Linked DNA regions of Canis lupus familiaris. The protein of the gene in region 2 interacts with the protein of the main gene of each other region in a pairwise test. Links are inferred from orthologs where the notes say so. Each region holds a gene or a part of one and is shown on either strand. Other genes may lie near its edges.

Region 1 (4,690 bases), on a different chromosome or scaffold from region 2:
AATGGCTTGAACTCAGACTACTCAGACAATTCGTTCTGAGAAACTCAATACCTTAATTCAAATATAGGCTTTAATGCACAAAAATTAAATCTGTAATATCTAGTTATTTTGGATGCTTCAAATGAACTTCATTTTGTATCTTGTATATTGGACACTAACTGAGGTTTAGGAAGGAAGGAAGTGCTGAACTAGAGAGCCAGTGAATTATATGCTCTCTTGAAACTTAATGGCAAGCTTTCATCCCAGAAACATAAGGGGATTCTTGAGGCCTGCAGTTGCATTCCTGCCGCTCAGGGTAATCAATAAAATCTGGGGCAGGCAAGCCAGACAGGATCATGAGGGATTTGTTCCAGATTGTGAATGTTGGACAAACTGGAAGAATGAAGGTCACATCAAAAGTATGAAGATGGAGAGAGTTAGCTGGGTCATAGAACGACAGCATGTTGTTGTCATAATCCAGAAGGACACCCAGACGCTTCAACTGTGGGGGCACATCCACCAACATTTCCTTGTTGTTATGTCTCACTACAAAGTTACTATTGCATCGAGAGAAGACCCATGAGGAGGCATTCTTGCCAATCCATTCGTTCTTGGGAGCAGACTTGTAGGCAATACCAATTGCATACCTGTGAGCCCATGGAAAGGAGAGAGAAATGAACATTTATTAATGATCTGATTTGTGCTGGACACCACATGGGATATATAAGAACTCTAATGCGTGCTTCCCCCTTTACAAAATAGTTTACATTTTAGGCCTATAACGTTCATAGCATGAGAGCCGGACAAAGTCAGCAATTAGAGTGTTGGAGTATGGGGCACCTGGGTGGCTCAGTGATTGAGCGTCAGCCTTTGGCTCAGGTCCTGATTCCAGAGTCCTGGGTTTGAGTCCCACATCAGGCTCCCTGTAGGGAGCCTGCTTCTCCCTCTGCCTGTGTCTCTGCCTCTCTCTCTCTGTGTCTCTCATGAATAAAAAAGTAAAATCTTAAAAAAAATAGAATGCTGGAGTAATTTCCAACTCCTAGCCCAGTGTGTTTCTCAAGATTTTATTTATTTTATTTTATTTTATTTTATTTTATTTTATTTTATTTTATTTTACAAAAGCCAGCCAATTTTTCTAGGAGTGGTTTTCATCACATGTCTTTTAACCTTGACTTACTGGTACTATGTTTGTACTATGGAACTGTATCTCCCAGGAACCTAACAACAGGGGAAAAAGGGAGAAAAAAATAAAAGCAGGATCTACTCACCAGGTGCAGGAACCCATAACTACCTCCCAGTAGTGGCAGCCACTGTCAATGAATATATTCCCTGCTGCCCCATAGCACCCTGTGCTGCTAAACCTCTCTGGGGTATGGCTCTTCTTCAGAGAGCTTTCATCCTTCTCCATCTGCAACCCATCATTGGAGATCTTCAACTTCTTGTGAGTCATTTTCGGATCCAATTTAAAGGGTTGGCCTGAAAAAAAGTAGAGAAGAAGAAAATGCATGAGCAAGTATTTAAGAATGCCATCTTTGTCCCCTAGGACTATCACTACCAGGGGATTCTTGATATGATTCTTGATATTCTTGGGCCAGTGCGAGCTGGCTGCTATTTTTATTACATTATGGAAATAGAGACTGAAGGCATCGTTTTCAATAAAATAATCAGCTGCCCCCCATATGTTATCAAATTAAAAGAGGGCTCTCAGGACCTCATGTTCTCAAATATGTTTTAAACTCTGCTTTATTTCAGTGGGTAGTTTGGGAGTTAAGTAGATCTTAGTGGAAGGAGTATTCAAGGTGAGATAGTGTGAGGGGAACTGATGAGGTTATTGCTGGTTGGTGACAGAACAAAAAAATAAGAACTCAGTAAAGGCCATCCTTCTACCCTCTTACAATTGGGATATAAATAACATGATTAAGTGACTTCATTAGAGTGTCTGATACATCATGAATGATCAGAGAGAACATTTGTTGTGTAGGATCATTCACGACAGAGAATTCCTTAGAACCATTAAGACGACACAAGTGACTAGGAGCCAATTGCTGGGTGTGGCAAGAGCTGGATTATACAAAATGGGTCTGTGGCAGACACTGAACACAACACCCATTCCCTGCTTTTTCTCTTTTGTCCACTTTCACTATAGAGGCCAGAAAAACTATAAAATATTCCTGTTGCTAGCCTCTCTTGCTGCTAGGGGTGGCTAATAAGATGGAAGTGAATGGAAAGAGAAGTCAGACAGATTTGGGGACACTTCGGGGAAAGTGCCTGCTTTCCCAATAGAAGGAGACAGCCATCACATGCACCAACCCTTTTTTCCTTTCCCTATCTTAAAAGGAAATATGACCTCTGGAGGTAGCAATGGCCATATTGTGACCATGTGACAATAAGTCAATATGCAATGGGAGAAGGAGCCTGGGTCTTCTACAACATCATTAGCATAGAACGAGCTGCTGCACTGGCTCTGAACTGCCCACCTTCAAACTTCTTGCTATATGAGAAAGAGAAAAAAATACGATTTGCTTTAGCTACTCACAAATACTATTTATTAAGCTGAGTTAGTTGGATTTTCAGTCAACTTCAGTCAGAAGCATTCCAAACAGGTATGGCTTCTCTGCAGAAGGATCCTACCAGATTATCACAAATAGTACTGTTTTACACAATTGTTTGCTCCAAGCATGGGATGGGGTACAGAGAAAAACCCTGTAATAACACCCTCTCCAAACACCAGCTGCTACTACATATACTTTGTGTGTATCTTTGTGCTCATGTATTTCCCAAGGTCACCAGCAAATCCCAGGCCCAAAGCACAAACTGCTGTGGGTGCCTGCTCAGGACCTCCCTGGTGCAGAGGGGAAATGGAACTCTCCTTTTGGAATCACCATAACGTACTATTTGTTTTTAGTCGGGTGGGTTCACTGTTCCGGCTGCCTGCTTGGTTTATGGCTTTAACAATGAAGATGTAGCGGGTCCCGCTCTGAAGTCCATGCACTGTGTAGTGGTTCTGTTTAATGTTGGGCACAATCATCCAGCTATCCACTGAATTGTACAGGCCTGTAAAGAGGGGAGGAAGATAGAACATTAGCCAGCAGATAATAGAGGATGAGAAGCACACTGACAATTCATTAAAAGCCCCCACTACCACCACCAAAAAAAAAAAAAAAGTGAATTTCATTTTGTTTTCTTTGGAGTCCCAGGAGACAGAGTGAGGTAAATATCTTCTGTTTCTTTTCTCCCACGGAGCTAGGCTTAGGCCAGGCTCCCTGCCTCTGATAATTGAATGTCATCACTCGTGAAAGTTAGGTTGCTTCAGTTTTCTGCCCAGTACCATAGGAAAGGCCACTCTACAAAAGTCACAGAATCATCACTTTTATGGAGTCTCTGGATCTTTACACCAAAGGTCCAATCCTCTGAGAGCTGACTCTAACCTGGTATGGATGGAGCAGTCCTGGGCAGAGCACAGGAACATGGACTGTCAGAGCCAACAGGACACCCACACACTGTATTTCCCTCATTTGACAAATGGGAAACTGAGAGAAAAAAGTGACTTGCCCAAGGCCACAGACAGATGGTGATGGTGCGGAGAGTGTAATCCTGGTCTCCTTAACCCTAGTCCAGTGTTTTCTCCACCCACTACATGACAATTCATGAGGTAGATAACAATATTCCTTTGTCCCTGCAAAGTATTGAAGCTTCCAGGGCTTATGTATGGCTCATCTCTCCCACCCCATCCTCACCCTTACTTCCAAAACTAACTAGGCTCCAAGGTATCATAGGGAAGCCAAAGAGATGGCATGAAAAACAAAGCCAAAATTGCCATCTCCTCACTTGATACTACCCATTTTTGCCCCTTCCTGGTTCTAATACTCATTTGAAATAGGATGGTCCAGGAACACATTGTTGCCTGGAACCTTCTTCCCTCTCAAGCCCAGAGATCTAGGTTTCTGCTTTCAAAACTCTTTGGACCATAAACACTGATTTAAACAGAGAAAAATGTGCATAATTAAAAACACGTATTTGGATAACTGTGAGTAAAAGAGGGGTTGCTGTTCTATTTGTGAATTATCGAGGCTTCTTTTCTTCTGTTATCTGCTTTTTAATCAGTTTCCGGCTTTTTAACCACAATTCTACCAAAGCATGCAAAAGAATGGGGGCATGAAACATGAGCAGTAAATTTAGTCACTTCTATGCAACCCTCATAAAGGATTTAGTGAGGTTGAAAATTAAAAATAATCATGAGTGTTTTAGCAAAGAATAATAATAATCATTAGTGTCTTGAAAGAGATCCGATCATGAGGGCTTTATAATGAAGTTGATGGGAGGTTAAAAAAGTCTAAAGTAAAACTAGAAAAAGAGGCATAGTGGAGGGCAAACAGAGATGTCCTAGAAAGAATAACTGGTGAAGAAGCTCAGTTATGCTCATGAAAGGCAATAAGGATAAGGGCCAGGAATAATGTTGGAGGGCTTGGTTATCCACGTGCCAATTCACAATATGAATGATAAACTGCAGAGGGAAATAAATGATCTTCCAGATATACTTCTAAAAGTATAAAACAAAACTTCACAATGAAGTACTATGTAGCTATGAAAAAGAATGAGAAGGATCTCTATTAAATGATATGGAGTGATTTCCAGGGTATACGGTTAGTGGAAAAAAAGCAAATAGCAGAAGAGCATATATAGTATGCTATTTTTTTTTTACAAGAAATAA
Region 2 (5,442 bases):
GATGGGGGAGGGCAGAAGGAGAGGGAGAAGCAGGCTCCTCCTGAGCAGGATCCCAGGACCCTGAGATCATGACCTGAGCAAAAGGCAAATGCTTAACCAACTGAGCCACCCAGGTGCCCCTAATTTCAAAATTTTTAAAACTTTAAATTAAAAACACACACAACATGGGGCTTAAACTCACGACCCCAAAAGCAAGTCACATGCTCTACTAGCCAGGCACTCCAGTTCATGTTTCTTTGTAACTTATTTTATCAGGCATAATTATATTTCAGAGGAAATATAGTTATGGCATCTCTGACTTCAGAGGAAATATAATTATGGCACCTCTGACTTCCTTGTTTAAAAGAACACAGACACTCAGATTATTTAGTGACTAGCTATACTTAGCTGAAAGTATATAATAGCTGAAAATAAATGCTACAAACTAGAAGATGTAACAACATAAATAATGAAGAAATCGGAGATGGGGAAAAATAACGGCACTCATAATTAAACGTACTTTTACGAAGAAATTTGTTCTAACGTGTATTTATGACTGCCAATAACATACTGTGGAGGGAGAGAGAAATGAGTACTCACCTGGCAAAAACAGGAATTGCTAATCTCTTCAAATGTGAAATTACTTTTGAAATACAGAGGTGCAAACTTTATCAAGATCATCAGAGAACAGCTATAAAAATCTAGTTAACTATTTCACCTGTAGGAAAAGATACGGCGATAAAGCCATTAGAATTTAGAAGCCTTTGGGTTAGGACAGATTAATATTAAGAAATGTTAAAAATAGGATTTCTTTTCAAGCCGGGCTCCCAAAATTTGGCAGAGGAATGCAATCCTCATTCTTTTTCACTAAAAAGCTCATTCCTCTACTTTTAGGTAAGGCGATGGATTTTAACATAGTTGGATGGCCGATAATGTTACACTTGGTTAAATTAAAAGAGTGTTCCAAAACTGAAGGCTCCCGCTCGGGAGAAGACAAATGCAGATGGTGTTAAACAGGCAAACGATCGATACAATATTAAATATCAAGTGAGATAGTATACCCTTTCCCCTTTTGTTAACCATCACCAGTTTTTCTGGAAAGAGGTCTTTGGGGGAACTGGCACGTGGAGAAGAACACCGGTCAGGGATCTGCGCCTTTTCATTACGAGTTGTGCCACCTCCCGATTCAGCCATGGCTGACTGGTGCAGGGCTGACCGGGTCGTGGGTCATGGCTCCCCCGGCTGCAGGCGCTTACCCGGACAGAACTGCTCTCTCCGGAGAGGCTGCAGCAGCAGGACCCGACCTAGGAGACTCCCCGAAAACCGGCTCCTGGTTACGCCAGGAGAGCTCAGCAACCTTCCAGCGCCCTAAAGGGAGTAACGAGTTCACTGAACGTGGGTCCAGAACGACACCGTATCCCGAGGGGGAAAAAATGCCACAAAACTGCAACAGCAAAGCAACAGGTGTTCCAAGAGCGGAGGGAAGAAGGCAGGCGGAGATACAGCCCTGCGCATGCGCGTTCCATCCAGGTGCGGCAGCCACAGGCAGGGAGTAAGAATTAAGCTGTGGAGAAGCGGCCAGCGGCTGGTTACTAGGAGACGGGACGCTCGGGTGGGACGTCTAGGCCCTGCGTGGTCGTACGCCTGCGCGGCGCGGATGGACCAGGAAGAGGCGTCTGCTCCGCGCCCTGTACGGTGGGCAGGTGGACATACGCGTCGCTACGTGCGTGGCTGCGCACGCACGGCTGTAGTCCCCGCGAGAGAGAGAGGCGAGCCAGGTACGCGTGCGCACGGGAACTGGGGGCGCGCGCGACGGAAGCGGAGCGAAGGCGCCGGGGAGGTGGAGGACGAGCCCCCCTCAGGTACGGAGCGTGAGGGCGGGGCCGACGGCGGCGCCGACCGGCGCTAACCGCCCCCGCCTCCTTCCCCCCGGGTCCCGCCTTCCTCTGCCTCCGCCGGGGCGGAGCCAGGCCGCAATAGGGGTGGGAAGGGAGGGGAAAGGGGCGGAGGATGGAGACGGGGAGGGGCCTGGATCCCTGGCGCCGGCGGTGGCCCGCCAGTCGTCGCGATGAGCTCCGGGGAGGATGTCGGGCGGAGGAGCCCGGGGAGGGACTCGGAGCTCCAGGTAGAGGCAGCAGGGTTGCGCCGGGTTGGGGTAAAGCAGCCCCTGGGTCGGAAGGCCCCGCATCCGGGCGCGTGTGACGGGGATTAGAGGCCGTGGGTGACCTCCGAAGCGGGAGTTCGCTGCCTGACTGGCTGCGAGGGACGGCAGCGGGCAGAGCTGTGGTCCAGGGAAGCCCACCGGGAGCAAACTTTGCCCCTGTTGTCGTTTCTTGGGCGCTTCGGGTTGAGCCCAGTTCCTATGGTGACCGCTTCGCTTCCTGCCGCAGCTCTCCGCCTGGTTGTTGGGGACACTGTTCTGTTTAGAAACGCTTGGACTGGAGGTGAGGAATTTGGAAGTCAGAGATTTGGGAATTCAACCTGCTATTCCCGACTCCCAGCCTCTCACTTCTAAGCCTCTTGATAGACTTTGGGAGGTGAAGGGCCGAGATTACGTAGGTATTTGCATGAAAGTCTCTTGTAATTTTCGGTAGAGATTATACACAGGAAAGGCAGAGTAAACTGGGTTTTGTTTGAAAAAAAATATTTGAGATTAAAGTTGAATAACTGCGGCGATTATGGACCGGACATCTAATTACACAAAGGAATACATTGTTATTGTTTGTTTGTTTTTTAAAATAAAGTCAAGGATGGAGGCTTCAAGAAAAATGTGCTTAGGTAATATACCCCGTGTTTTCCTTCTTACACTACAGGGCCTTATATCGCAGGATATTCGTTGTTTTAAGTTTCCTCTACTGGTTTTCAGCATTTAAACTACACTTTTCTTTTTAACCTGTAAGAAAATAAGATAATAATTGGTTTACGACTAGAAGAAACCAGGTTAGAAACCAGAAACTAGAAACATAAATGGAAAGTGTCACATTCAAATCTGCCTTCAGGATAAAACTGATTCTTGTTTGTATCTTAATTGCTCAAGGGACTAAACCATTCAATTTTAATTAATGAGAAGTAACTAGGAAGGCGTTATTAATGAAATATTTACTGTAAAATAAACTTTGGTGTGATTTAATGGCAGCTTCCAAAATATACTTTATTTTGTTGACTTGGAAAAAAGAAATCACTGCTTACAGTCCGGCATATAATCAGATGTAGAGATTCTGTTGGCTCTTTTCCTGTCTTCTTTTTAAGTTGCTTAGATCAGTTTTAGAGTAATTTGCTTTTAGAGTATTCCATATACAGAGGCAAGTAGAGCAGGTGTTACTATTCATTTTTTTCCTCATCACATGCTCTCTCTTCTCCCCAGATGTAGCCACCATCCTTACTTCTTATGATAACCAACCACTACCTTGCTTTTCTTTAGAGTTTCACTATCTTTGTATAGGAACCCGCATATTCTAGTTTGGCTTGTTTTTGAACTTTATATAAATGGAATTGTAGTAACTATTCCTTTTCAGTTTGCTTTTTTACTCAATGTGAGTTTTTTTTTTTTTTAAGATTTTTTATTTATTTATTCATGACAGAGAGAGAGAGAGAGAGAGAGAGAGAGAGGCAGAGGGAGATGCAGGCTCCATGCAGGGAGCCCGATTTGAGACTCGATCCCAGGTCTCCAGGATCACACCCTGGGCTGAAGGCGGCGCTAAACCGCTGGGCCACCAGGGCTGCCCTCAATGTGAGGTTTTTAAGTTTTATCCTTGTTGCTTGTAATTAGTTTGTTGTTTAATGTTTACCTAATCCACTATTAATGTTTTTACAGTTTTTGGTAAACATGAACCATTGCTGTGAACTTTCTCATATATGTGCCTCATAAGAATCTTTTTAATTGAGCTAGTTAGTAAGGTAGTTCTATTTGTGTTAGTTATGGGATTAACATGTTTATTATTAATATTTTTTAGTTTATGAAAGCCCCTTGAAAACAACTCTTTAACTCCTTCTTATGTTTCTTAGAGGTCTTGGTAAATGATACTTCTCCTAAGGCCATTGCTTTATTTTCCTTAAAAAAGACAAGTTATTCCTTTACAGAATAGTCTGGATTAGAAATAAGGAGCTTAAGTTTGAATGGATAATTAGATTATTTGTTTTTCATAAGAAAGTTTAAGCATTATGGCTTTACTGTTTTGTTTGAAGGGAATTCCCAAAATGTTTTTTGACTTACTTTTATAGTACAAAAACCTGTCTCAAAATTACTCAAAGAACTGTGTGATTTTTTTACATTTTTCTTTTAGTGAGGCTATTTCTTCCTACTTCAGTGTCTATCACTGTAAACTTTTGGAGACAGCTTTACAAAAAGAAAACAAGTAGACTTTTTGTGGAACCAGATTTCAGAATTCCATATAAAGTACTACAGTATTTTTAATTATCCTATCAAAATATTTGATGACATTTGTTGAGCATGTATTATATGCATGATATTTTGCTCAAGATTGATATTTTTTTATTTTTAGCACATGATCTTACCTCCTATTTCATAAAAAATGAAACTTCTACTAGGCAGGACTTTAAATTACTACCCCCTTTTTTTTTTTTTTTTTTTAAAGATTTTATTTATTTATTCATGAGAGACACAGAGAGAGGCAGAGACATAGGCAGAAGCAGGCTCCAAGCAGGGAGCCCGCTGTTGGACTTGATTCCGGGCCTCCAGGATCATGCCCGACCCTAAGGCAGAAGCCCAACTGCAGAGCCATCCAGGTGTCCCAAATTTCTACCCCTTCTTATCTAAATCTTCACCTGACCTTGCTTTCCTCTTATCTCAAAGGACGGACAGTGCACATACCGTTTATTTGGGTTTCCTTTTATTGGCTCTGTGGCCTTTCTCCATTAGTTAACATTAACCCATTCTTAGGAATCTTCGATGTGTTTATACTGTAGGGCTTCTTAACCTAGTGGACAAGAACTTTAGAGAGTTCTTGAATCCCCTGAAATTGTTTGTAAAGTTTTGTGTGTGTTTTTATTTTCTTGAGGAAAGGACTCAGCTTTTATCTAATTCTGAAGGGAGTCCTTGATAGAAAGAGACTTAAGAAAAGGTTTTCTCCTTTGTAACAACCATTCAACAACTGTAGTTGTCTTCTGCCTTTCACTCTACCTCTCATGATCATGCTTCCTAAAATAACTCTACGTTTTCTGTTTTCTTTGTTCATTACTCATTTATTAGTCCTCTTCAAATATGCTTCTACCTCATCTGTACCATTGAAACTACTTTTTTGAGTCATCAAAATTTTGTTATTTTGAAAATATTCTGTTGATTACCAACTTTGTGCTGAGCACTTCAGTAGCCATTAGAGATATAATAGCGAGCAGACAAAAGCCCAGATCTCTTGGAGTTTACATTCTAGTAGTGGGGAGACAGACAAAAACAAATTAAAAAATAAATGATATAATTTCAAATATCGTTAAGTGCAAATAACC
Region 3 (5,472 bases), on a different chromosome or scaffold from region 2:
CCTTTTTCAGGCCAGCATCAACACTTGCTCTAAAACTACTGTTAGTGCTACCTAACTGGTCTCCCTGCTCTTGTCTCCCTCCACTCTATTCTCTTCACAGTAGTAAGGATTATCTTAAAATGTGATCTCACTCACCTGCTTGAAATTCTTTACTTGGCATCCCAATGCACCTAGAAAAAATCCAAACTCTTTATCCTAGCCTATAAGAACCTATGTGATCCTCTCCTCGTTCCCCAACCACACTCCAGAGTCACTCTCTGCTCACCAAGCTCTAGCCATCTTAGTTCCTTGAACAAATTAAGCTCTTTCTGATGTTAGAGATGTGCACATGTCATTTCCTCTACCTTGGAACACTGTCCCCTCTCTCCATTGGTTAGCTCTTTTTCACTCCTTTGGGCTCTAACTATCAACTCATTTAGAAAGGCTTTGTCTGCCTGACCACCTTACCCAAAGAATATTCCTAATACTTCCATCTTTAGTCTCTAACTCTCCTATTTCTAATTCCTTTAGTTTTATATAGTATTTGTTTTTTGTCTGGCTACCTCCTAAATTTTAAGTTCCATAAATAAGGGCAGGAACTAGTCTGTCTTGTTCATAACTTTACTTTCCCCTACCTAACACAGTGTCTGGCAAAGTACTATATGTAATTCATAAGGAAGTTACATCTCCAAGAGTCATTTCTGATACTGTGACACTCTAAGATTGTATTTACTATGAGATTAAAGGGCTTCCATATAAACTTCCCTGCAAGCACTTAGTAGGCACTAAGTATCCGTACAATGAATGAATGACATGCAAATAATACCAAAAATTTGTCTCTATTCCTGACCTTTCTTCTAAACTCCAGATTTCGGGATCCCTGGGTGGCGCAGCGGTTTGGCGCCTGCCTTTGACCCAGGGTGCGATCCTGGAGACCCGGGATCGAATCCCGCATGGGGCTTCCGGTGCATGGAGCCTGCTTCTCCCTCTGCCTGTGTCTCTGCCTCTCTCTCTCTCTGTGACTATCATAAATAAATAAATAAAAATTAAAAAATAAAAAATAAAAAAAATAAACTCCAGATTTCATTTCTAACTGCTTGGATATCCATCTCAAACCAACAATGTCCAAAATCCAGATTATCATCTCCACCACCAAACCTGTTCTTCCTATATTATCCACTTAAATTATTGCCCAATCTTCTTCCCACTCAGCTGCAAATTCTAGGTCTTTAACAATATCTCATCCTCCATATTTAAATAACCCCAGTAGATAGCTGAAATATATGTAACCAATAAAACCACTATTTAAAAAATAAATAAATAACCCCAGTAGTTCTGACTCCCTCAGATTTATTCCTCCTGTAATACTCTGTTTAGGGCTCATTATCTTTCAACTACGCTATTAAAATAGGCTTCTAAGGGGTCAAGCTGCCCTAAAAATTCCCTTTTCAATCTGCCTTTTTTTTTTTTTAATTTATTCATGAGAGACACAGAGAGAGAGAGGTAGAGATACAGGCAGAGGGAGAAGCAGGCTCCATCCAGGGAGCCCCATGTGGGACTCAATCCCGGGACTCCAGGATCACGCCCTGGGCCGAAGGCAGGCGCTAAACTGCTGACCACCCAGGCGTCCCTCAGTCCACCTTTTTATGCAGCCACTTGCGTTATCTTTCTAAAACACAGAAATGCTTATGTTACTCTACTCATTCAAAATTCAGGGCCTGAGAAAATTCCTAAGCCTGGCAGCATGGCATTTCAAATATTCTACAATGTATCCTCAACTACTGTTCCAGTTACAGCACTGTCCATATTCCTCAATTAACCCTTTACTCCAGCCGACAGGGACTGGCTTTTGAATGAACACACCAGCCTATATCAGTGCTCAAGTCTTTGCTTAGACTAGTTCTTCAACCAGTAATAAGTACTGCCAATCCAGTTGCGATGTTTTAAAATCCTTTCCAGTCTTTAAAATCCAACTCAAGTGCCGTCCTCCAGTAAGACTCTGATCCTTTCCCTCCAGTAAGAACAAATCTCTCTTTTCCTTGGTGTTCTCACAACACACTGTTTCACCTCTCTTTAGCAATTATTCCATTCTGTCTTGGTTGTTAATTGTCTACATGCATATTTTTTTCACTGGTTAAGGCCGCTGAATTTATTCATTCTAACTCTGCATTAACCAAGTATGATGCTTTGAACAAATTAAGCATTCAGGAAGTATCTGTTGAATAAATAGGTAAGTCTCTTCCCCTGGGGGGAGGGGGGAGCTAGAGATTAAGTAACTTGTCAAAAATTCAGACATTTACTTAGATGCAGAATTTTTAAAAATAAGAACCTAAGGGCAGCCCCAGTGGCCCAGCGGTTTAGCACCTGCCTTCAGTCCAGGGTCTGATCCTGGAGACCCGGGATCGAGTCCCACGTCGGGCTCCCTGCATGGAGCCTGCTTCTCCCTCTGCCTGTGTCTCTGCCTCTCTCTCTGTGTGTGTCTCTCATAAATAAATAAAATCTTTTAAAAAAAAAATAAGAAGAACCTAAATCTTCTGTTCAGTTGAGTTTACTCTGTCCACGCTAAGATCACCCAAAGTGGAATTTCTCACTCCCTAACAACAAAATGCCACTGACTTTATTTCAGAATGTTTCTTTCACTCTCATTGAAAGTATGTTGCATTGACCCGCGTGCCAAAGTGAAGAAATACAAATTCTTGAGTCCCAAGTTAGCAATATTTAAACTTCCGAATGGTGCCCCATATCCCACATGCGTGAGCAAGTGGGATAAACTTTAATCGACTAACTGCATTCTTGTCTCTGAAGAAACTTCAGAGGATAAATTTAACCTGCGAACGCATTCAGCCCACAGCCTCGCCTGGAGACGACAGGAGGAGAAGCGAGCAGCCAAGCCCCTCAGAGCCGGCAGCCTTCCTCCTAGACTCAGGAAGTAAGTGGACGTATGAAGGAAGAAGGTAGCTCCGGGCCGAAAGAACCAGGGCAGAGTCCCTTGGCATCCTCGTTCCCCCTCTGCAACGGCCTTAGCGTGAGGCCCCAAGGGCCGCGGGCAGGCCCGGCGGCGGGTGCAGTCCGGCAGCCCCCGCCCTGGGGACTCGCTGACTCCAGCTTTCTCGGGACCGTCTTGTTCCCAAGCCCCCGCCCTCAAAACCAAGCAAAGGAGCCGAAACCTCCGCCCCACTACGCCGCGAGGGGCAGGGCCGAAGCCGCAGGGCTTTAGACCGGCCGCTCCCGGGCCCGCCAGATCTGGGAGGGGTGCCCAAGGGGGGCGGCTTCCCTGTCCTCTCCGGGCGGTGGGGAGGAGGAGCGAATTCGGCCCCAGCTCCCGAGAGGCCGCTACCGGCTCCCTCCCTGCCGGGGACCACCTAGCCGCGCGGGTGTGGCCCGGCCCGGCCCGGCGCTCACCTTTCCGTCCCGGGCAGCCGGCCGGCCGTCAGGCGGTCCCGAATTCCGTCCACACACAGCGTCTTCCGGCTCCCGCCGGAAGCAGCAGGAGCGCGGGACAGGAAGTTTGGCCGGCCCCCAACGCTCACACCCACTCGCTCGCCCCGGGCCGGACGGCGGCCGCCCCGCGCCGGGGGCAGCCTGAGGCGGGCGAGGCGCGCGGGGACCCGGCTGTCTGAGCAGGGCTGGACCCCCGCCCCCGGGACTAGGGCTGCGGTCTCCGGCGTCCTAGTCATTCCAGGCCTCGGGGCCCCGAGGTCTGCGAAACCCGAAAAACGGGGTCAGTGCATTCCAGCCGTGACGTCGCCGCTTCCTCGCAGCGGCAGATGAGGTAGTTTTTCCTGTCAGCTGAGATCGGAACTAGTTACAATGGAGGCCAGCGAGAAGGAGAGCACTCCTTAAACACCGACCAGAGTTCTCACTGAAGAGGAACACTTCGAAGCTTCACTGCTTGAGAAGGGAACTTGCAGAATCTAGCTCAGCATTGCATTCGCACAGGGTAAGAGTTGAGACTCGAGTGTACGACTTTCCTTGTAACATGATCTCCCTAGAGTCTGGGTTCCCTGTGTTAGGATGCAAAGAGGTCTCGGATATCCACACTGGGGACTAAAACACTTGAGCTCCAGGCTGGATGCCACAACTAACTTGTTAGAGCTTTATGCGGTTGAGACTTTTGAAATTACTCATTTGTGAGTACCTGCTGTGTGCCAAAGGATGAGGACCTCAACTGAGGCAGTGGCAGTGATGGAAATTAAAGGCGTTCTCTAAGAAAGGTATTTATTTTCAAGGTTAAACACAAGCCTTAATGATAGGCATCTGAATGAGTGAGGGAGTAGTAGTTTGGGTGTGCAAAGGATGGTGATTTAAAAACAAAGTAGAAACACGTAAGAGGAAGGTAATTTCTTTTTGGATAAACAGTTTATCCCAGGTGTCAACAGGATATTTTACTTGGGAGGTCTTAAGCTCGAGTAAGAGGTCAGAAATAGAAATGTACTCTGCCTTTGGCCCAGGCCATGATCCAGGGTCCTGGGATGGAGTCCCGCATGAGGGTCCTGCGAGAAGCCTGCTTCTCACTCTGCCTCTCTGTTTCTCATGAATAAATAAAATCTTTAAATAAAAAAAAAGAAAAGAAAGAAAGGAAAGAAAGGAAAAAAAAAAGATTTGGGAGTTATCAACATATAAACCAGAGATGAAGTGCTCTCTGGAGATGAAATGGTCCAGGAAAGGTATATAAAACGAGAACACTGAAGTCAACCAGAGTGACTGATTTACTAACAATGTAAATCTACTTTCCACAAATGTCGCAGGCAAAAGTATAGAGCAGGGTGTAAACAGGTGACCATAAACCAACACAGCACCTAGGAAAATAAAATCAATTTTATTGTTGTAAAGGGCTGATTATAATTAATGAAACAGATCCTCTTATTTAAAGGCACATTAATTTTGAACGTTCATGTTTCAAACATTTGTTAATTTTCTTAGTCCTGTCATTTTCTAAAGCTGTCTTGATTGCCTAAATATTTCTAATCACCTGAAACTTCAAGTGATGTTTATATCTATTTGCCCTGGAAAATCTTTATGCTATTTGACAGTATATGCCTGCTAACTTAAAACAAACATGCTTTATCAATATATATTGAGTTTTTATGCTATAGAGGAAACTAGTTAGCAAAACACAGATCATCCTCTGTAGTAAACTAGTTTCTTCATCAACCTGACTGACCTGTTATTTATCTTCTCAACACAAAGTCTCTGCTCTCCTATCCTGAAAACTCCACAAGCTCTAAATTCCACCCCCCAAACTCTAACACGTGCCCTGCTATTAAATCCCTTTTCTATCTACAATACAGAAAAGCCATCCCAATTCTATTCTTATACCAAGTTACAGTTCAAGAATTATATAAAGCATTTCCAGGTCAACATACATTTACTACATGTCTTCACAAGCATTCTATTTTAAATAAAAGTTATTAACTGTAAAAATCCATTTATTTTGTATAATCCATTAAACAGTTATATCAAATCTCCAGTGGTTTCCAAATATCTGATCAA
Region 4 (4,690 bases), on a different chromosome or scaffold from region 2:
GGAACTCAATGCAGGGCTTGATCCTGAAACTTGGGGAGGATGACATGAGCCAAAGACAAGATGTTTAACCGACCAAGCTCCCCAGGTACCCCTCACTCTTAAAAATATATTAGGTATATCTGGGGGAAAAAATGAAACAGATAAAATGAGGAAAAAATTAAACTAAATTAAAAAATGATTTATCTAGGGATCCCTGGGTGGCTCAGTGGTTGAGCGTCTGCCTTTGGCTCAGAGCGTGATCCTAGAGTCCTGGGATTGAGTCCCACATCGGGCTCCCTGCGGCGAGCCTGCTTCTCCCCCTACCTGTGTCTCCACCTCTTTCGTGTGTCTCTCATGAATAAATAAATAAAATCTTAAAAAAAAAAGATTAAAAAAAAAGATTTCTCTAAAGCTATAAAGGCCTACAGTCCCCCACTCCTTAATTTCAATAGATTTAGTTTATACAGTATTTATTTTTCCACCAGAATAGACAACTTTTATAATTTAAGGTGAAACATGACAGTCCAAAAAGTTTAAATCACAAATGAGAAGCACAAAGTTTCTCTCACCATACAGAATATTTTACTAGCATTAAAGGAATGGTGGCAAATTTACATCAAGACATTACTATAAAACCTCTTATTCAGAAAAAGACTTTTAGCTTTTTAATCCTCAGCAAAAAATAGAACAAATGAAGTTCTTTTATAAGAAAGTCAGTCATCTCTCTGGTAGCACAATCAGTACTAAAGCAAAATACTTCACATAATTCAGAATTGTTCATTTTGTGCAAACTGCAAGACACTTGTCAACATTATTTTACAGGAACAAAGAAGCAAAAAAAAAAAAGACAATGGTCTTGAATAGTATTTTGTAGGTACAATAATGGCATGTCAGATGACAAAGAAGTAACACAATATAGATTACTAATGAAAAAATTTTCTCAATGGTAACTATCAATTTTATACAATTTATAAAATTTATACTTAATATCTTCTCTAAAATTTTGTAGTCTACTATATTATGCAATATGAAGAAAATATAAGTTTTCTACCAGGGCCCATATAGATGGTCCTAAATACCCTCAGTTTTTCCCCATGCTATATAGATGTTATCATTTTCTATGTGTGTGATGGGGGAAAGGGTAAAAACCTAGAAAAGGCAAGTAAAAAGCAAGGAAACCAACTAATTGCGGAAAAGAAACAGTATGGGAATGAGGGAGAATATAAGATAATCAACTCCATTTAGAACAGGTTGAGTCTGATGTACCAATAGGGTCTCACATAGGCGTTATCTGCTAATTAAGTGAGATACATAGGCCCAGAATATAAAACTAGAGACCAAACTTAGAATAAAGGGAAGATTAAACATGGTAATTGAAAGCTATCAGATCTCCTTGAGAGAGTATCAATAATAAAGGAGAAGAGAAACAAAACATAAACAGGTAGTTAGCTGAAAGCCAAAGGAAGCTAGAGAATCTGAGAAAGAGTATACGAGTCTTTGGAAAAGAACGTTTTAAAAAGAAAGAACCAAGTCAAGAGAATCAAATTCCCTTAAGGAGCTCAAAAGTATATAGTATTTGAATCACTGATAAGTTTGGTGAGAATAGTTTAGTAGAGAGCAAAGGAGCCAAACAGTGAATTGAGAACCAAAGAGAAAATAAGTTAGTAGAGATAATTCAAGTAAAAGAAAAAAGAGGAGCTAGAGTTAAGGTCAAGAGAAAGGGTTTTAAGATGGAAGGGACTTTCATTTTAAATGTTCATTAAGGAAGGAAGATTGAAAAGAAAGAATAATTCATGGAATAAAATCGCTAATTGCTAACTATTAAAAAAGTCTCAAGTTCTTATCTAAGTTTCAGAAGACTAACAATCTGAAAAAAACAATTACTAACATCGTTACATTCTGAAATTTAGACAGCATTTACATCTTGAAGACCTTTTAATCATTTTTTTGTTATTGTTACAACACTATTCAAAAAGGCAAGCAAGTAGGTAAAACATTTGTGTTCACATTTTATTTAAATTCCCGTTCTCGCTCCACCTTTAACTTTCTATTTATCAACTGTGTATTATTCAAGTTTCAGAAATAACATAAAAATCTATCATAATATTAGTAATATTAGAATCATTGTCTAGAATGAAAGTAGAGCAGAACAAATGATTAAAACTTTCAAGCTTGGGCAGTAGTTTCTATCTTGGGAGAATGGTTTAGTAACTGCCAACAAAATCTGAAGTTGCTTTTAAAATGGCTGGATTTTACAGTAGCACACTTCACATTCATAATAATCGAAGTTGTCATTTCTAATAAACATACTTGTTTCATGAGAATGCTTTTGAAAAAAAAATTTACTATGGTTACTAACTTAATTGGGTACTCGAATTAAATAATAATTGGAATATCTCTACTGCAAAAACCAGACTAAATTAATAAATTAATCTCCAATATACCAAAAGATATAAGCCACGTGAAATATTCATTTAACAGATGATCTACTGAATGCTTCCTCTATGACAGGCACTCTTCTGTGATAATTCAAGGGTAAACAAGGCAGAAAAGGGCTCTTCCCACCAAGAAGTTAGCCTTATAGCCAAGGAAGACTTAAAATAAAGATATAAATAAGATAATATCAAACAACAGTAAGTACTATCATAAAAAGGAGCTTAAAGAGTAACTGGGAGAAAGTAATGGTTATTTACTGGTTGGCCAGAGAAGGATTCTCTAAAGGAGACAATACTTGAATTTATGCTTGAATGAAAAAAAAAAACAAAAAACAAAAAACATCATGCATACTATAATCATTCCGGACAATGGAAATAGCCAGTAAAAAGTCATATGGCTCTTTAAGTTCTAGCTATACATTACTATTCAGCAAAAGTCAACCCCTTTAAAAACTAGCCATCAATTTTAATAAAAATGTATGGATGTGCAACAAATTAATCCTTTTTTAAGTGACCCAATGTGGGAATAGGATACGGTAATTTACTTTTAGACATAAGTACATTAAACAAATATTAATGTCTGAAAAAATACTTTAAAAATATTTCTCAGGTGCTTAAAAATGAGCATGTCTTAATGTATATATCATATATGCAGAGCCATATGTGGCTTTCTTGTACATAATGCAAAAGCATTTCTATATTGGATAGGCAGTAAAAATAAAGAGAATCTTACTTTTAGCAAATATGTCAACTGGTGATCCATCAGGCAAAAGCCATGGCCAACCTTTGAACTGCCATGCAGGACCTTGCACAAAAACTGCTACAACCCGATCCCTATAAATAGAAAAGGGACAGAGTTAGAGCTCAAGGGTTGAGACAATATCTCAAACATGAACTCTGATTACTGTAAATCCTTAAGGAAAGGTTTCAATTATTCATGTGGCATAGTCTCCTGTCAACAAATCTGTGAGACAGAGTACATTAGAGTAACTCTTTGTTACAATGTTATCATTAGGGTGTATTAATGATTGTTATACTTCTTATGCATCTGTTTTTGCACCTAAGTCTTTTAAACATAATTACACAACACAATCCTTATATGCAATCTTTTTTAACCTTTTAATCTGCCCTTCTTCTAGAATAAGGGCCCATTTTTTAGGGAACATGACTTGATCTATTAATTGAAAAAGTTGGTTTTAAAAGGAAATCATCTAAAATTCAAATACATCTTAAACGCTTTACTTTAACTAAAAACATTATAAATTATAGTAACTCACCAACCATTTTCTGGAACCTCAAAGTCTTATTTTTGAGTTCTTCTATTATTTAGAAAGTAATCTGAGTATAAAAGTCATTAGACTTCAATTTTTCCAATTGTTTACAATTGTTTCACTCACCCTAAATTCTACTAGCATTCTCTTTATTTTTTAAGCCCAACATGGGGCTTGAACTCATGACTCAGATCAAGACCTGAGCTGAGATCAAGAGTCAGATGCTTAAACTAACTGAGCCACCGAGGCACCCCTATCTGGGGTTTTTAAAGCAATTTGTCTTTCCAACCGTTCAATTTTGTTTTCATAAAAAGAACAAATCTTTCTCTAGGCCTTCATATTTCATTAGTTCACAAATTATTTAATTAAATTGAGAAATCATTATAAATACAAAGGCCATAAGCAGTTTAAGCATAGAACTAAAGAAGTGGGAACAAAACCATAATATAAACAGTAATAGTTAACATTAAGACATACTATGAGCATTCACTATGGGCCAGTATTGTTCTAAGCACCTTATCTTGTACATATGTTAACACATTGAATCTTCCAAACAATCTAATGAAGTGGGTACTATTATTGCCCCCATTTTACAGATGAGGAAACAGAAGCACACGGACAATCCATGAGTCAGAAGAGAGATGGAGAGAAGAAGAATGAGGAGGAGAAATGGAGGGAATGATTACTCTTGTGCACTGGTTATGCTACTGTTCCTGTGTGAGGACTGATAAATCATGACAACAGCCATCTCAGTACTATTACGGAAATAGTTTTAACCTTACAACTCCTTAAAATGGTTTTAGGAATGCCCAGAGGTCCACAGATCACACACTTTGATAACCACTGCATTAGATGAAAACTCTATACAGCCAACAAAGCATTAAACCAGGTTATCTTCTATTCAAGTAAAAGACCTACTGCAACAATTCAAGTTATTGTGAAAAACCACAGCTTAAAAATCTTAATCTGCTCAAAATCTCTAAGGCTAAAATTAAATCTTAAATA
Region 5 (4,437 bases), on a different chromosome or scaffold from region 2:
ATGGGGGCTTAGGGATCAGGCTAGGTGACTGCCCCTGACTCTTTCCCTTCCCTGCTGCAGCTGCCCCCCAGCCCCGCCAGCCACACACATGAGCCTTGAGTTGGAGCAGCTGCGGGAAGAACGGAACCGCCTGGATGCAGAGCTGCAGCTGAGTGCCCACATCATCCAGCAGGAGGTGGGCCGGGCCCGGGAGCAAGGTACGCTTGGTCCTGGCGTTACAGAGCTGGAGCAGGGGCCAGAGTTGGGTGTGTTGGGGAGGGAGGAGTGGAGTCTGGCCACGGAGAGACCTTTGAGTGCCATCTCTTCCCAGGGGAGGCGGAGCGGCAGCAGCTGAGTGAGGTCGCCCAGCAGCTAGAGCAGGAGCTGCAACGCACCCAGGAGTCCCTGGCTAGTGTGGGGCTGCAGCTGGAGGCTGCTCGCCAGGGCCAGCAGGAGAGCACAGAGGAGGCTGCCAATCTCCGGCAGGAACTGACCCAGCAGCAGGAGCTCTATGGGCAAGGTGTGCAGGATGCGGAGTCTGTTTACCACGGAGGGCTGTGAGGAACGGAGAAGCAAAGCTTCCTCTGACACATCCCATCTGCACCCCCGCCCCCCCCCCCCCCCCCCCCCCAGCTCTGCAAGAGAAGGTGGCTGAAGTGGAAACCAGGCTGCGGGAACAGCTCTTAGAAACAGAGAGGAGACTGAATGAGGCTCGGAGGGAGCATGGCAAGGCAGGTGAGATTTGCTTGGGTGGCTGTGGTCGTCCGGGGAGAAGGCAGTGTTGGACATAAGGGTTTTTTGTTTTGTTTTTTTAAGATTTATTTATTTGTTCATGAGAGACAGGCAGAGAGAGAAGCAGGCTCCCCACTGGGAGCCTGATGTGGGACTCAATTCCGGATCCTGGGATCACGCCCTGAGCCAAAGGCAGGTGCCCAACTGCTGAGTCACCCAGGTGTCCAAGGATCTTAAAGCTGTTTTTGAAGTATGCAAATAATGAAGTTACCAAGAAATGGCACAAATACATTCTGAGGCGGTGAACACACTCCTTCAGCCAGCACACATAGGAGCACCAGCAGGTGGCCAGCCCTAGTGCCCCCTGAGCCCTGCCCAGCCACCCCCCTCCACAAGGCCACGGCCATCCCAACCTCACACCAACCATTACCCCCAACTTTTTTCTTTTTCTTTTTCTTTTTCTTTTTCTTTTTTCTTTTTTCTTTTTTCTTTTTTCTTTTTCTTTCTTTTTTTTTTTTTGCCTTAAAGCAATAGAAAATTGTTCTCTTACAGTACTGGAAGCTAGAAGTCTGAAGTCAAGATGCTGGCCAGGGTTGGTGCCTACTAGAGGTTCTGAGAGTCTATTTTATGATTCTCTCCTGCATTCTCATGGTTGCTGGCAATCAGTGGCATCCCTGGTTTGTTGGCACATCATTCTTTTGTGTGTCCATCTTTACATGATGTTCTGTGCTGCACGTGTCCGTCTCCCAACTTTTTTTTTAAAAGATTTTGTTTTTGAGTAATCTTTACAACCAGCATGGGGTTCAAACTTACCTAAGATCAAGAATCATGTACTCTACCGACTGACCCAGCCAGAGGCTTCCCCTCAATGTCATAGTAGGGAAAAGTTCAAATACCTAGCCAAATTACAAGACTCATGCAGTGCCCACTTGTGTACTTCCTCTAACTAGATGCAACAGCTATTCATCTATTTTTTGTTAAAGATTTTTTTTAAAGATTTTATTTATTTATGAGGGACATAGAGAAGCAGAGACACAGGCAGAGGGAGAAGCAGGCTTCCTGCAGGGAGCCGGATATGGGACTTGATCCTGGGACCCCAGGATCATGCCCTGAGCCAAAGGCAGGCACTCAACAGCTGAGCCACCCAGGCGTCCCTAACCTCAGTGTCATTGGCACACATTAAGAAGACATTGATTGCACCAAATTGAATATTCAGTACACATTCAGATTCTCCCTAAATGAGTCCAGGAAGGTTCAGGGATGGGGTTGTGGAGCATCAGCCACTGTGCCCAGCATGCAGAAGACATAGCCCCCCAGTGTTCTGCCCACAATTCCAGCTGTTCTCATGGTGCCTCACTACCTCTGGGTTGCCCCACACCTGTGCCCTCTGTACCCTGGCTTCCACTAGTGGTCTCCCTGCGCCAGATGCAGCGCAAAGCCACCTGGGAGAAGGAGCGGAACCAGGAGCTCAGGCGCCTGCAAGATGAGGCCCGGAAGGAGGAGGGGCTGCGGCTGACCCAGCGCCTGCAGGAGCTAGAGAGGGACAAGAACGTTATGCTGGTAGGGGGTCAGAGACTGGGCCCTGGAGCTGCCTGGGGAGTAGAGGCCTCATTGGGGAGGGGTGGCTCTGCCCGGGCTAGGTGGCATTTGACCCTCTCCTTCCCAGGCCACCTTGCAGCAGGAGGGTCTCCTCTCCCGTTACAAGCAGCAGCGACTATTGGCAGTTCTTCCTTCCCTCCTGGATAAGGGAAAGTCTGTGGAGTCCAGCCCCAGGGACCCAGGGTCTTCAGCAGCTGTGCCTCTGGCAGCACCCACCACCAGGGAGTCCATAAAAGGTAATGGTCTAGGTAGGAAGGGATGGATGGATGTACAGGACTTAAGGAATCTCTCCTCCAGGTGCTCTTAATGGTGTGAGCATTTTTCTCCATGACCTTTGGAGGCCCACAGCCCCTCATCCATGCCCACCTTGGGCCAGAGAACACCCTCCCTCATAACCCTCCCATCTGATGGCAGTCCTGTTCTCTGCAACCGGAGCTGCAACAGCCTTGTCTGTCTGGCTGCTATCCCTGGGGGTCTTCTTTCCTAGGATCCCTCTCTGTCCTGCTCAGTGATCTGCAGGGCCTGAGTGAGGCCATTTCCAAAGAGGAAGCTATTTCTCAAGGAGGCAACCCGAACTGTCCTGCTCCAGTGTGTGGCTGAACAGCTGGGGACTCTGCCTCTGGGGGCTCAGGGTGAACAGCTGGGGACTCTGCCTCTGGGGGCTCAGGGTGGGGGGCCGGCCAGCTGCCCTCGTGGATACCAGCCACCAGGATGTCTGAATGCTGTGGCTCAATAAAGGTGATTACAGTGTGCCATGTTTTCTCTGGGACTGAGAGGGAATTCCCCTGCAGCCATCTCCATCCACCCGGAAAATGCGAGAGGTGGTCCCCAGCTGTTTTCTCTAGGTAGTGCCTTTCTCAAAACCCCTTCCCCAGGCTGCTTGAGAAGTTTCTGGCAAGCCCCAGGTTTTCTTTTTCTCAACTTTTGTTTTAAAACTCTACTTCTGGAAGAAGACCACTGCCCAGAGTGAGGAATATAAAACATCGCTCATTTGCTCAGAGTCAGGCAGTGTCCTCGCTCAGGGGCCATAGTGGTGGGCTTGCTGAGTGGGTCCCTGCTGCCGAGGCACTGCTGTCCTGGTGGTAGAGACAGATGATGGACAGGTACCTAAGTGAACGGACGGGCGTCCTTGGGAAGAGAAAAGACATACAAGGTGATAGAACCTGACCAGGGAGGGGCCGCCCGATGCTGCCTCCCTGAGGAGGGGCTGTGTGGAGGACCTGCCTGAGGTGGGGAAGCAAGCAGCGGCGTTGGCTGGAGTCCTGCAGATGGCAGGCTAGCATGGAGGGGGACCTGGTGGGGTGCGGGTTTTATTCCAGGTCAGTAAAAAGCCCTTGGAGTACTTGTAGCAGGGATGCAACCACATGATTAGGCTGACTTCTTTTTTTTTAAAGATTTTATTTATGAGAGAGAGAGAGGCAGAGACACAGGCAGGGGGAGAAGCAGGCTCCGTGCAAGGAACCAGATGTGGGACTTGACCCCAGAATCATGCCCTGGGCCAAAGGCAGGCTCTAAACCACTGAGCCACCCAGGGATCCCTAGGCTGACATTCTTTTTTTTTTTTTTTAAAGATTTTATTTATTTATTCATGAGAGAGACACACACACAGAGGCAGAGACACAGGCAGAGGGAGAAGCAGGCTCCATGCATGGAGCCTGATGTGGGACTTGATCCCGGGACTCCAGGATCACACACTGGGCCAAAGGCAAGCACTAAACCGCTGAGCCACCCAGGGATCCCCTAGGCTGACATTCTTAAGAGCTAGGTAGGCTGGCTGTGGAAGTTGGGGTTTGGGTTGGGGAGGGAAGAAGAGGGGGTGGGGAGACCAGTTAGCAGGGTAACTGAGGAGGCCCGGAGAGATGGGCTCCTGAGCTGGGCTTGGGGCAGGGTTGGGGGAAGGAGCAAAATGAAGGCTTCAAAGTGAGCCACAGAGGGACAGTGGTGTCCCTCACCAGGAGGGAGCAGACCAGGTGGGGAACAGCCTGGGGAGGGTGGGAGATGTGTTAGGGAGGCATTACTTCCTAGAGGCTTACTGGACCTCCAGACCAGGGGCAGCCTTCCTGAGGGCTCCAAGAGACGGAGACAAAACTAGACTGAGGTCTACAAGATGGGGTGGGGGGTTTTGGG
Region 6 (4,690 bases), on a different chromosome or scaffold from region 2:
TAGCTTGTACTCCTCACATGGCTCCCCGTCACCCCCACAGCCATGGTTCTTCTGCATTTCACCAGGTGCCTCATAGGAGTGCAGTTGAGCAGGACAATGTCCTGACCTGAGTGCCTTTCATAAGAATGAGGAATCTCTTGAACACCTTCAGGAAATTAAAACATCCTTTTGTCTTTTTTTTTTTTTATGATTTAAGATAAAGGAACTTGAAGTAAGAACTATTTTGAGTCAGTACATTGTTAAAAGTTGTGTTTTGGAACGCCTGGGTGGCTCAGCGGTTGAGCATCTGCCTTTGGCTCAGGGCGTGGTCCTGGGGTCCTGGGATTGAGTCCCACCCACATCAGGCTCCCTGCATGGATCCTGCTTTTCCCTCTACCTGTGTCTCTGCCTTTCTCTCTCTCTCTCTCTCTCTCTCTCTCTTTCTCTCTGTCTCTCATGAATAAATAAATAAAATCTTTAAAAAAAAAAGTTGGGTTTTAAAATTTTATCTTTAATATTCATAACCTAACACGGTAAAATCTGACGTTCTAATTCTCAAAAGTGAAGTTGTGTTTAAATTATTTAGGAAAAGTGTTTTATTATCAGAATTTTAAATGACCATTATGCTTGGCTTTATGGGATTGTATACATATAATTTGAAACTTAATAACTATTAAAAAGACAAAAATAGCTTTCCAATTCTGGTGTTTGATTTACTTCATTTTGCGCTTTATAAAACAAGACAAAATCTTGGTTTATTCATGTAATTTGTGTTTTGTTTTAGATAGTTAAGGGAAAAAGGCTTAGGGTGCTTTGTGTAAAGACTTCAGAAAACAGCAAATTTCAATTATGGATAACTTTAAATCTCAGTAAATGGAAAACAAAAATGGATCACGGTTATCACTATTTTGTAACAGTTCACTTGTCACATATTTGAGTCCCTGGTGGATGATAGTTCTGCTACTGCAGCTGTAGCAGCGATGAAAACAAAATCTCTTTTTTTTCTTTAAAGATTTTATTTATTTATTCATGAGAGACACAGAAAGAGAGGCAGAGACACAGATGGAGAAGCAGGCTCCATGCAAGGAGCCTGATATGGGACTCAATCCTGAGAATCCAGGATCATGCCCTGAGCCAAAGGCAGATGCTCAATCACTGAGCCACCCAGGCATCCCAAAATCTCTGTCCTTAGTGACCTTGTTAGAAAAGGGGGCAGATCTGTGAGCGGGGGTTCATTATACTTGCTGCTTTAATCATTATGTATGTAAATTAATCAGTCCTGGTAGAAAAATAACTTAAAACTATAGGATAATAGAGAACATTGTGGGAACTATCGGTCTTGTCTCCGTGACAGACTTAAGTCTTGAGTGTGCTTAAATGATCTCTGCTAATTCTACCTAGTAACCAGTTGAAGGACATTTGGGTTGTTTCCAGTTTGGAGTAATAAGCAGCAAAGCGTCTGTCAATATTAATAAACATCCATGGGCATGTGTTTTCATTTTGCTTGGGTGAATCTCTAGGCTTGGGATTTGTGGGTTGTATGGGAAGTTTTCCTTAGGGCTGCTGTGTTGTTTAAGTGGCTGCGCTGATTTGGATTCCTCCCAGAGGTGTGTGAGACCTCCAGGTGTTCCACAGCAGTTACTGTAATTGGTATCACCATCCTGGTGGGTGTATCATGATCTTTCTCTGAGGTTTTTTTTTTTTTTATTTTTTTATTTTTTATTTATTTATTTATTTATTTATGATAGTCACAGAGAGAGGGAGAGAAAGAGAGACAGGCAGAGGGAGAAGCAGGCTCCATGCACCGGGAGCCCGATGTGGGATTCGATCCCGGGTCTCCAGTATCGCGTGCTGGGCCAAAGGCAGGTGCCAAACCGCTGCGCCACCCAGGGATCCCTCTCTGAGGTTTTAATTAGCATTTCCTTAATGATGAATGACGGTGAGCTAATTTGCCTTCTGCATATCTTCTGCCCATTTTAAAGTTTTTTTTTAATTACTAAGTTTTGAGAGTTCTTAATGCATTTTGGGTAAAAGTTTTTATTAGGTTTGTTTTGCCAACTTTCCATGTGTGGCTTGTCTTTTCATGGTTTTAGCAGTAGCTTTTGAGGATGTCATTTTATCAGTTTTATCTTGTATGGATTATGCTTTTGGTCTCTTAGCTAGGAAATCTTAACTGGCCCAAGGACAAAAAGATTTTCTACTGTCTTCTAGAAGTTGCATCGTGTTAGATTTAACATCTCGGTCTCTGATTTATTCCTAGTGAATTTTTGCATGCAGTGTAACATAGGTGGAGGCTCATTGTTTTTCTGGGTGGGTGCTGGACTGTTTACTGAGAGACACTGATGGGGTAAAATGGAAGTAGCTGTAGGTGAGCTGCTTGGAAGGCTTTTGAGCAGCTCTAGGAGTTTGTGAACCAGTTTTTGGGAAACACCATCATATTGCATATAGATATGTTTCGGGGAGAAGGTTTGTGCTTCACAGTTAATGGAAGAGTGGACCCCTGAGAAAGATTAGCAATTGTTGTGAAAGATCATGTTTTAGGAATATTAATTACAGCTTCTGAAACTATGTGAAACCCCAAAAGTTAATTGCCCAGGACAGCATTTTTCAAGTCTTAGCTTGTGCCCCTTTGAGGGCTAAACCCTTTTATTGTTAAGCGTTTATGTGATAAATAGAAAATAACACAATGTGTCACAATAGAGTAGTGTTTCACAAGGAGTCTTTTTTCCTGCTTGATAGGCTGTGATGTAAAATGTTTATATTGTGGGGTGCAATCAGAGAGTTTGAAAGCCACTTTTCTAGAAGATTAGGTCATATTTTTTGGTATAGAACACTTTTTAAAAGTAACTTTTGTCTTTAAAATTATTTTTAAAAGATTTTTATTTATTCATGAGAGACAGAGAGAGAGAGAGAGAGGCAGAGACACAGGCAGAGGGAGAAGCTTGCTCCACGCAGGGAGCCTGACATGGGACTCGATCCTGGGACTCCAGGATCACTCCCTGAGCCAAAGGCAGTCGCTAAACCACTGAGCCACCCAGTGATCCCAACTTTTGTCTTTTATAGGTGTGAGTTCTTGATACGCATGAAAGGGCAGGAATTTGTGGATGAGATTCAAGCTCGATACCCTCACCTTCTTGAGCAGGTAAGTTTTTATATTTGGCAATGCTGAATTCTCTTGAATAATAATGACAAAGAATATTATTAAGAGTAATATTTACATTTGTTATTGATTATGGTTAATTGCATTATACCCAATTAATGACACCTTAATTTTTATTTTTGTTACTACTTTACTTGTTCAGGGCTTTTTAAAAATTTTTGGGGGGTGCCTGGGTGGCTTAGTTGAGCATCTGACTCTTGGTTTTAGCTCAGGTTATGATCTCAGAGTTGTGGGATTGAACCAGTGTTCCTGCACTCAGCAGGAAGTCTGTTTAGGATTCTCTGTCTCCCTCTGCCCCTCCTCCTGCTCATGCTTGTTCGCTCTCTTTCTAAAATAAATAAATCTTTAAAAAAAAAAAAAAGATTTGCTTTTAAGTTTCTGAAAAATCAATCTCCCACTGTACAAATTTGTGGTGGGATTGGAGGAGGATCTGTAGTGCCTCCTCTATCTTTTGCAGGAAAAAAAAAAAAGCAACTTGTTAAGAATTGGGAACCTGAGAGTGATCTAGCTGAAATATCTTTTAAGTGGAATGAGAAACCATGAATATTTTTTCCTCCTTTCCTGAAACTAAGAAATGCTTGAACTATAATTTGGAAGTAGGTAAAGTTTAAGGGGATTTTTATGATGATTAAAGTAAAACAGAGCAAAATAAGTATATAAATTACCTAGTTTTCCGAAGTGTGTGTACATTACTTAAGGTAAACTTATCTTGTTGTTCTGTTTAAGGTTGTTTGAGATTTTTTATTTTACCTCTTAATTTTTCTCCTGTTCCATAGCTTTTGTCAACATCAGATACTCCTGGAGATGAAAATGCTGATCCACCAAGTATGTATGGAAATATTCCAGATATAGAATGGGAATTTTTATAAGAATGTTAAACACAGAAGTATATAAATAGAGCTATGTTTTGAGTCCTGAGGACATAGAAAAAAGTGCTGAGAAGTTAACTAATAAATATTATGTATCTGCTAAGATTCATGACATTTTTAGAGTATTCTAGCAAGTATACTAATCTTTGTTCTTAAAGTTGCTTCCAACTGGGGACACAGAACATATGCAGAAGAGAAATAACCATCACAGATTAGCTCAAAGAATACCACATGAGAAGTGTAAATAATAAGCCCTCCAAGGAAGAAAAGTTTGCTATAAGCTAGTATGTTTGGAAAGGGCCAGTTGATACATGATTTAAGAATTGGTCTAGATACTAGGTATTTATTAGGTGTGTGGTATTTATTTATTTATTTATTAATTATCTTATTTATTCATGAGAGACACAGAGAGGCAGAGACACAGGCAGAGGGAAAAGCATGCTCTATGCAAGGAGCCTGATGTGGGACTTGATCCTGGGACCCCAGGATCATGCCCTGAGTCAAAGGCAGATGCTCAACCAGTGAGCCACCCAGGCGTCCCAAGTGTGTAGTATTTTAGTTGTAAGGACAGGAAATAGATCTGATAAGAGCTTAGTATTGGTCATATCTGGCATTAAGTTCATGTATGTAATTTACATATGTTAGGGTGTCCAAAATAATGAAGATAACCATGTACTATTTC

The links.
Region 1: the proteins of TSGA10 (region 2) and MID2 interact in binary tests that used the Homo sapiens proteins (3 or more experiments, as listed by UniProt). The two-hybrid records come from large-scale screens. The link is inferred for Canis lupus familiaris from reciprocal best matches to the Homo sapiens genes TSGA10 and MID2.
Region 3: the proteins of TSGA10 (region 2) and ZNF410 interact in binary tests that used the Homo sapiens proteins (3 or more experiments, as listed by UniProt). The two-hybrid records come from large-scale screens. The link is inferred for Canis lupus familiaris from reciprocal best matches to the Homo sapiens genes TSGA10 and ZNF410.
Region 4: the proteins of TSGA10 (region 2) and CDC73 interact in binary tests that used the Homo sapiens proteins (3 or more experiments, as listed by UniProt). The two-hybrid records come from large-scale screens. The link is inferred for Canis lupus familiaris from reciprocal best matches to the Homo sapiens genes TSGA10 and CDC73.
Region 5: the proteins of TSGA10 (region 2) and CCHCR1 interact in binary tests that used the Homo sapiens proteins (3 or more experiments, as listed by UniProt). The link is inferred for Canis lupus familiaris from reciprocal best matches to the Homo sapiens genes TSGA10 and CCHCR1.
Region 6: the proteins of TSGA10 (region 2) and BIRC2 interact in binary tests that used the Homo sapiens proteins (3 or more experiments, as listed by UniProt). The two-hybrid records come from large-scale screens. The link is inferred for Canis lupus familiaris from reciprocal best matches to the Homo sapiens genes TSGA10 and BIRC2.

The regions. Positions count from the first base shown.
Region 1 is NC_049260.1:82,072,210-82,076,899, reverse strand, and holds part of MID2 (probable E3 ubiquitin-protein ligase MID2), read right to left. Parts: intron 3,034-4,690; coding exon 2,872-3,033; intron 1,456-2,871; coding exon 1,248-1,455; intron 627-1,247; coding exon 224-626; 3' UTR 1-223. UniProt on the Homo sapiens protein: E3 ubiquitin ligase that plays a role in microtubule stabilization. Mediates the 'Lys-48'-linked polyubiquitination of LRRK2 to drive its localization to microtubules and its proteasomal degradation in neurons.
Region 2 is NC_049231.1:44,604,802-44,610,243, forward strand, and holds the start of TSGA10 (testis-specific gene 10 protein), read left to right. Parts: upstream 1-1,989; 5' UTR 1,990-2,047; coding exon 2,048-2,104; intron 2,105-5,442. UniProt on the Homo sapiens protein: Plays a role in spermatogenesis. When overexpressed, prevents nuclear localization of HIF1A.
Region 3 is NC_049229.1:47,425,435-47,430,906, reverse strand, and holds the start of ZNF410 (zinc finger protein 410), read right to left. Parts: upstream 3,478-5,472; 5' UTR 3,382-3,477; intron 1-3,381. UniProt on the Homo sapiens protein: Transcription factor that binds to the sequence motif 5'-CATCCCATAATA-3', and is specifically required to silence expression of fetal hemoglobin in adult erythroid cells.
Region 4 is NC_049259.1:6,439,308-6,443,997, forward strand, and holds part of CDC73 (parafibromin), read right to left. Parts: intron 3,249-4,690; coding exon 3,148-3,248; intron 1-3,147.
Region 5 is NC_049233.1:980,148-984,584, reverse strand, and holds the end of CCHCR1 (coiled-coil alpha-helical rod protein 1), read left to right. Parts: intron 1-60; coding exon 61-197; intron 198-310; coding exon 311-499; intron 500-612; coding exon 613-714; intron 715-720; exon of another isoform or gene 721-1,055; intron 1,056-1,263; exon of another isoform or gene 1,264-1,468; intron 1,469-2,119; coding exon 2,120-2,271; intron 2,272-2,377; coding exon 2,378-2,546; intron 2,547-2,797; coding exon 2,798-2,910; 3' UTR 2,911-3,062; downstream 3,063-4,437. UniProt on the Homo sapiens protein: May be a regulator of keratinocyte proliferation or differentiation.
Region 6 is NC_049226.1:29,447,080-29,451,769, reverse strand, and holds part of BIRC2 (baculoviral IAP repeat-containing protein 2), read left to right. Parts: intron 1-3,042; coding exon 3,043-3,121; intron 3,122-3,915; coding exon 3,916-3,964; intron 3,965-4,690. UniProt on the Homo sapiens protein: Multi-functional protein which regulates not only caspases and apoptosis, but also modulates inflammatory signaling and immunity, mitogenic kinase signaling, and cell proliferation, as well as cell invasion and metastasis.